2 linked regions of the Nothobranchius furzeri genome follow. The protein of the gene in region 1 interacts with the protein of each later gene in a biochemical or structural test. Links are inferred from orthologs where the notes say so. Each region holds a gene or a part of one and is shown in the gene's direction. Other genes may lie near its edges. The genes, in order: msh4 and msh5.

Evidence for each region.
Region 2: the proteins of msh4 (region 1) and msh5 form a complex in vitro, tested with the Homo sapiens proteins (2 studies listed by BioGRID). The link is inferred for Nothobranchius furzeri from reciprocal best matches to the Homo sapiens genes MSH4 and MSH5.

Annotation. Positions count from the first base shown.
Region 1 is NC_091758.1:32,017,696-32,021,619, forward strand, and holds the start of msh4 (mutS protein homolog 4), read left to right. Parts: upstream 1-1,148; 5' UTR 1,149-1,270; coding exon 1,271-1,478; intron 1,479-1,594; exon of another isoform or gene 1,595-1,639; coding exon 1,640-1,771; intron 1,772-1,871; coding exon 1,872-2,035; intron 2,036-2,118; coding exon 2,119-2,229; intron 2,230-2,316; coding exon 2,317-2,432; intron 2,433-2,498; coding exon 2,499-2,672; intron 2,673-2,739; coding exon 2,740-2,912; intron 2,913-2,996; coding exon 2,997-3,064; intron 3,065-3,165; coding exon 3,166-3,240; intron 3,241-3,324; coding exon 3,325-3,389; intron 3,390-3,461; coding exon 3,462-3,631; intron 3,632-3,718; coding exon 3,719-3,855; intron 3,856-3,924. Other genes in the region: vcpkmt (protein N-lysine methyltransferase METTL21D), read right to left, coding at 32-288. UniProt on the Homo sapiens protein: Involved in meiotic recombination. Required for reciprocal recombination and proper segregation of homologous chromosomes at meiosis.
Region 2 is NC_091745.1:79,204,602-79,208,525, reverse strand, and holds the start of msh5 (mutS protein homolog 5), read left to right. Parts: upstream 1-1,129; 5' UTR 1,130-1,325; exon of another isoform or gene 1,326-1,416; intron 1,417-2,862; 5' UTR 2,863-2,866; coding exon 2,867-2,968; intron 2,969-3,052; coding exon 3,053-3,176; intron 3,177-3,284; coding exon 3,285-3,365; intron 3,366-3,624; coding exon 3,625-3,678; intron 3,679-3,801; coding exon 3,802-3,923; intron 3,924-3,924. Other genes in the region: SPRY domain-containing SOCS box protein 1, read left to right, coding at 1-455, 532-662.

The DNA of each region.
Region 1 (3,924 bases):
TAAAACAAAAAAACGCAATCATTGATCTCACCCAAGTGTTGCTGCCATCAAACCCACGACTCCTGTCCCAGCTCCCAGCTCCACCACCGTCTTTCCGGACCACACGTTGACTCCTGAAGTCGGCTCGTAAAACTGTTTCGTCTCTAAATACTTAGCGAGAACAATAGCCGCGTCCCAGACCACACAACCAACATCCCCTATGTAGCACTGCTTCAGCCTTAAGCTACAACCGTCATTTTTCTCAATTTCTCTCACGAAATACTTGCTGTCATCCGTGTTCGTCGCCATGTTGGCTCAAACCGGAAATGAAAACAACTTCCGGTTCTTGATTTTTCCTTTCAGAATAAGAGCCTTGTGTAGCGTGCTCCGTGCACATTTGAAATTGAGATTTTGAGAAACATTTGGACTTTTTTATTATGTGGATTACCGACACCGAAGCTAACAGACACGATGGCTTAAAAAAACACATTTTCTATCATCCAGCTTCAAATTATGTGTTTTCTGTGCTATTTAAAACGATCAAAAGAAAAAAATGTATATTCTCCTGGTACAAAAACACAGTTAACTTTATTTAATCAAAGAAAGCTTTTACAAAACATAGCATGCGTTTTAATGTTCCGTCTTTTAGTGTAGGATAATTTTGTTCTGTTTGCGCCTGAGTGTTGTATTTTTTGAATTGCGTTTAGTGCAAATTTTTACAAACATAAGTTTGTAGTTTCTAATCATGTCAAAGATATACTATTAGTAGTTCAAGAGCAATGAATACCCAACTACATCTAATAAACACAAAGACATTCAAACAAACATGTAGATTACTTTTAAAATGTACACATTTTGTTTTAAACAATAATCCTTGGGGTGTTTACATTTAACAATAAAAATATAAAATCCTGACATAAATTAAATAAAACATCCGTTTTTTAGTATCTGTCTTTCTATAGTTAGGAATTTCCCACCCCCCACTGGAGACAAGTAGTTTCTACAGGCAGCGTTCATAAAGCTAAACTAGACATTACACTATGCAAATTATTATTAGTTTGCGGTAATTATGATTATTTATTTATTTATTGACATGCGCAGATCAGATGCTAACTGGTGAACAGAGAAGGGTCGCGCGCCCATTTAGTTTAGTCGCTAGCTAGCAACAAGAGTTTTTTGTTTGTTTGATTTGAAAAAAAAAACTGTTTTACAGTTTGTTTAAGCGTAAAAATACATTTAACAAGTAATAACGATATATCGGTCCATTATCGAGTGTTTTTGAGGTTTTAAAATGTATCACAGCAGCACAGAGGAGGTAACGAGTGGTGACGCCTCAGAACGTGGACAAGTCCGGAGGACAGCCGCGAGCAGAGGACCGAATCAAACTACCACTTCTTCTTGTGATCCAGCATCACTTTGCTCAGCTCTTTCTCCTCAAAGTTCAGATGAGAGCATATCTAAATCAAGTCATGGTCCAGCCCAACCGGGAATGGCTTCAGGTGACTGATTTAAAACAGAAATTTAAATAACCAAATTTATTTTAAGTGACTAGAAGTTAGAGACCACTAGCTTTGACTTGGCGTCAACAATGAAGCTACAAGGTTACATTTTGTATTTGTGTTTGACTTTATGAAATAATAACAGCCTTGTCTTCATGTAGGCCAGCATCCTAACAGCTCCAGGGCTGGGAGGACAGCTTCATCACTCCTCGTGTCCACCTCAGACAGCTCCTCTTTTCACTGTGGAGAAACACCAAGAGTCAGAAGGACACCAGGTTCTGCAGGGCCCACAGGTTCTCACCCAACACCACCACCACTGCCTCACCCAGCCGGAGCATCAACCCAAAAGTTTATTTGGAGTTTTGCATTTAAAGCATTCCCCTTTCCCCACAGGAGCCAGTTGCTCATCAGGATCTACAAGCTCTGGTCCCACTGTGATTGTAGCTGTGGTTGAAGGCCGTGGTTTTGCAAGGGGAGAGATCGGCATGGCCAGTTTCAACCTGAAATATCCAGAGCTTGTACTTTCTCAGTTTGCAGACACAGGAACATATGCCAAGGTAACTCAGTCCATATACTACCAACACTGGAAGGAGAACAGAAGATACAGGAATCATAGCTCCACCGTCTTATTTTTCTGCAGGTTATAACAAAGATTCATATCTTGATGCCAGTGGAAATATTGATGCCAGACACAGCCAGTGAGAAGGGAAAAAGGACCAAGCTGTTCAAACTGATCACTGAGAATTTCCCGGTACAAATATTTAACTCGTGGTTGCGGTGAATTAACCCAGGATCATCTCATAACCAACGTAATTATTTATTTACTTTTGCTCATCAGGGTGTGACTTTTACTGCGATCCAACGGAAGTATTTTAATGAAAAGAAAGGACTGGAGTACATCCAGCAGCTGTGTGCTCCAGAATTCAACACTGTCCTGATGGAAGTGCAGGCCAAGTAAGTCATTCATGCACAAAAATAAATCAGCAGTTTTTTATTTGCTCTGTATCATCATCTCTTTAGGTATTACTGCCTAGCGTCTGCAGCTTCTTTGCTGAAATATTTAGAGTTTCTCCAGAACTCTCTTTATGCTGCAAAGTCACTCAAAGTGAGCTTCAAAGGGAGTGAGCAGACAGCTATGATTGACTCGGCATCTGCTGCTAACTTAGAGTTAGTGGTCAACAACAGAGACCACAGGTAAGAACGAATCGGCTTTAAACCTGTTTTACTCTGTGATTCTGTGTGTTTTTGTTGCTTTTTATAGGAGTGAACAGACCCTTTTAGGGGTCCTCAACCACACAAAAACCCCTGGTGGAGCCAGAAGACTTCGCTCTAATATTCTAGAGCCTCTAGTTGATGTGGATACGATCAACATCCGCTTGGATGCCATACAAGAGCTCCTGCAAAATGAGGAGCTCTTCTTTGGACTGAAGAATGGTCAAGAGATGCAGAAAAAAAAACGTTTCGACTCGCTCTTTTACTGTTTTTACATGTTAGTGACACAGTGTTTGCTCTCTTTAGCCATCGGCCATTTCCTCGATGTTGACCGGCTGCTGTCTGTTCTGGTCCAGGTCCCAAAGCAGGAAACGGTGAGTCCTCTAGTTTCACGCTGCACAGTAAATATTTGTTTCTGGTTTTTAACTTTCTGTGTATTTTATGGATTTTTAAGCGTCGCATGTTTCACTGACAGGTTCAAGCTGCTGAAGCTAAGATTACACACGTCATTCAGCTCAAACACACACTGGATCTGGTGCCACAGCTAAGGGTCTGTAACTGTTGCTATTTGGTAAAAATGTAATCGTCCAACAGTTAATATAAAAGGCTGATTACGTTTTTAATTACTGCTCAGACGTTGTTGACGGACTGCAGAACATCTCTGCTGAAGGCTTACAGCGCCGCGCTGGAAGACAACAGGTATCGAGCTGTTTTTATAATTCTGTAAAGTCGTTGGTTTTACCGCTGTGAGCTGTGTCGTTCCTGGTTTAGATTCGACGTGATCCTGGAGCAAATCAAGACGGTGATAAACGACAACACCACGTATCTGAAAGGCAGCCTGAACATGCGCACCCAGAAGTGTTACGCAGTGCGCCCCAACATCAACGAGTTCCTCGACATCGCCCGCAGGGCCTACACGGAGATAGTCGACGACATTGCAGGTGTTTGTGCCGGATGTTGAGTGCGTGGTGTCGCCTTGTTGTGTTTTTGTATCATGCAGTCGTAGCGTGCATCGCTGCTCCGCACAGGGCTCGTGAACCAGATGGGAGAGGACTACGGCTTGCCGATGCGCACCAGCTTCAGCACAACTCGAGGTTTCTTCATCCAAATGAAACTCGACGGTGTTGTTTTGCCCGAGGGCAAACTTCCCCCAGAGTTCATCAAGGTGAATTATCGTGTAACAAAATTGCACCAAGACAGCAAACAGACCAGAACTGAGAGTTAGATCTTCCAT
Region 2 (3,924 bases), on another chromosome or scaffold:
GCTAACGTGGAGCCTCAAACACAGAGGAAGTCATGCAGCCATAGGGATCTCAAGGCAGGAATGTCCTTTGCACGACTCTGGTTATAAAGTTCTGGTGGGAGGAGACTCACGTTCCTGGGGATGGGAGCTTAAGACCAATCAGCTCTGGCACGGTGGGCAAACTCTGGAGTGCTACCCAGATAAAAGTAGAAGGTGTCGCTCTGGGGCTGCAAACAATTTCAGACCACAATCTTCTAATTCACATTCCACAAAGGAGGCAGAAGGCCCTCTTCTCATTCCCGAGCGTGTCCTGCTGGTCCTGGATGCAGATGCAGGGACTCTGGGGTATTTTGTTGATGGAAGCTTCCTTGGCGTAGCTTTTAGGGACCTTCCTAGTGGAGTAGAACTCTTCCCAGCAATAAGCAGTGTGAGAGGAGGAGCCAGCATACGATTGCGCTATCTTAACGGCACCACAAGTGAGTATCACCAACTAAAATAAACTGTATAATTTAAAAATGCTTTAATACTTAACATTTGTCCATTTTTTCTTAGGTAATCCTCCAGCCCTGATGGCTTTATGTGGACTGTCAATTTGTCAGCATTTAGGACAGCAACGACAGGACCAAGCTGAAAAATTGCCTCTTCCACCTTTCCTCCAGCGTTACCTGCTTTCTTGTTTCTAATTTTCATGAACATTCACGTGCAATCAGCATGCTTTAGCGTTTACAGCATTAAAGCCAAATAAGGCATTTCTGGTTGATTTGATATAAATATGACATTTTCAAAAAACTATTTCTTTAGTTGTATCTTTTGTTTGTGATGCATGGTATTTTGATAACGTTTTGAATGCATTTGCAAATTCCTTACTGTGTAAGCAATATGTTTCCTAAATTTATAATAAAATATGTTTTTGCAATTTCATTGTTTTGCTGTTTGTTTACAAAACACTACAGGCTACTGACATTGTATAGCTCGGAAAAGGTACTCACATAATTCATTATTTGTGTTAATAGTCATATCTGTTGATGCAAATAATTATTTGAATTTGATCACCTGACTGTAATTTTGTCAATTATGCAGCTGTGGATGGTGAATTTACCTGTAAACAAAAATAAAAGGGGGGGGGGGGGGGTGGTGGTGGACTGCATCAATATTAGGATAAATGCACTTAACTACCCATATATGAGCTCCCAAGCTCATTTTGTCAACATAAAAGTAAAGCTATGTAAAACTATATGTATATCATTCTCATTGGGCTTTCCCAAGCTTACTCACTTAGTCGGATGGTCCCGTTGCCATGGAAACAGAGGGCTGAAACAAGGCACGTGGCAAGCTGCACATTTATAGTAAGTTGAGCTAATCTCCCAATGCAAGCTGTTATAAAATAAAAAGTATGTATGAGATGTAGGTGTCGCTACTAAAGTCCCAACTAATTATGTAAGTACATGTTATGTAGTCTGATACTGCAATAAATATATATTTATAATATATCTTGCTAAATTAGACTAGCGTATGTCATTCACCTAGCATCAACTAGCTAACTGCTGCGACGTTCACTTAATAATGAAGTTACTTTTTTTAACAACAATTAAAGTGTAGGTAATGAGTTATTAAAACTAAATAACAAAATAAGACTAGTTTTCGGATTTTTTAGGTTTACTTAAACGTCAGATATGAAGTTCAACCTCTTTCAGCGCTACTTCCGGTGTAGCATATGTGACTTAGAAAATGGCGTACTTTCCTACGGTTGGGGTTTAGGACCCATAGTTAATATACATGATATCTATGTTAGGACCACTCTTAATCTGTCCATAACCGATGCTGAGATAACATATATTTAAAGGTTTGATAAGTATACACGATGTAACGGTAATTTCCCCAAATTTAAACTAATTTTAATAGCCTCATTGACTTGCATTCATTTTTTCTTATTTCCGGGGACACATGAGCCTTATGTAAATGTGTCTGACTAGTTAGGCTCTATTTGGGAGTCTGAAGCTGAAAAGTTTGGGAACCACTGGCTTACAAATTAGTATCAGGTTTTACTATGTTAATAATTTGTATCATAGTAGATTATAACGCATACATCGTGCTTTAAGGAAGAAGAAAGATTTTATATGGCGCCTCTCTAGATAAAATCTCAAGGCACAGTAAACAATAAAAATTAATTTTAAAGGATAATAATAAAAAGGAGGAAAAATGATTAAAAATCAGGTTGTAAATCATTAAAGGTTCTCTAAACAGTTCACATGGCAGTGTTTGGTTACCCAAGAGGATGTCCAAAGAATAGATTAACCTTTTTCTGTAGCTTTAATGGCCTCAGAAGAGTAAATAATGCAAATGAGTATTTTACTACTGTTATTTTTAGTTTGAATATGTCTGATTTACTATATTTTTGTTTTGGTATGTCTTAAATGTCCTGCCCATATTGTATTTTGTTTCTTGTATTTAATTTTCAAAAGAAAAGTTGGAGGGACTACAAAGTCGCTAAAGTGGCGAGGAGTACCCGTTGGTTGTGGTGGGCGAGGAACGAATTAACGACGTGCGAGGAATATCCTGCCATTGTGGATTGTTTTAGCTAGGTAGACTACGAAAAATAATCATTTTTATCAGAACTGAACTGTGACCCGATTACAACCCACAGCTTTCGACTCTCTGAGGATCAGTTGGTTTTTGAGGGTTACAGACTGGTGGAAGCAGTGGGATGTAGTTCTGATAGAAATGATTACTTTTTCGGCTTACACTACTACAAACAACACATTTGACAGCAACACAGAGCCCAATCTAGTCAGTAGTGATAAAACGTTTTAACATTCACTAGAGGACCAGATAAACTACTCAAAAATGAGCCTAATATCACTTTTAATGAACCATTCTGTGTAGAATTATGGCAGCAGCTCAAGAACATTCAAGAGAAGGAGGGAGAGTGATGGTTTATGGTGGCCCTGGCAGGAATGAGGATGAAGAGGAAGAAACTGACATATATGTGGTAAAATGGCTGCAGATACCAGTGGATTTCTAGATGCTTTCAAAATTAGCATTAAAACTTTATAATTAACGTGTTTGTTTCCAGGTTTTGTTGAGTGTTTTGGTGCATCATGGGCAGGTGGGTCTCTGCTTTTACGACAGCGAGGACTCCTCTCTACACTACATGGCTGACACTCCTGACAACCACGATCTTCACCTGTTGGCCAGAGGTAAATTATTCACTTACTTCCAATAGAAACATCACACTCACCAAGCTTTACTTTTCCTTTGTTCTGTTATTTGACTGTAATGTACGTCAAATGTTGTTTAATCTTCAGTCATTGAGGAGGTTAAGCCCCAGGTAATCATCACCAGTGCAAAGCAGGAACGGTGCTTGACTCGCTACTTACAAAGCCTCGGTGAGCGCCGCTAAACAAATGTCTTTGGTTGGTTAAGCGGAGTCAGAAACTGTAGAAGAGCATTTTGTTTTGAAGGGATGTGGAACGAGATGTTTCTGGGTCAAGGGAATTTAATGAGATTAAGGATGTTTGACACAGTGATAAGAAGAAGAGTGATTGTGATGGTGCTCCTCCTTATCTTTACTGAGCCTCCTTAACAACAAATAAAAACGGGGCATCTGTTAGTCACATTTTTATAATTAGTCTGATTTTGTTTCAGATTCCAACCAACACTACAAGCCAGAGGTGGTAACTTACCCATATGCAGACTTTGGTAAATGGTTGTTCTAATGCAATATTTATACACCTCCTGTAATTGCCAGGCTGTAGTTCTCTGTTCAGTCTTCGTTTTTTACAAATAACCACTTCATTAGGGTTTTGATTTTGAACGTTACAGGTCTGGAGGTTGGTAAACAGAGGCTTCTCTCTGCCCACCTGCCTTTCCTTCCAGCCAACATTTCAGAAAGAGACAAACTGTCCTACCTTTCCTCCTGTATCACTTTTGATTCGCCCCTGATGG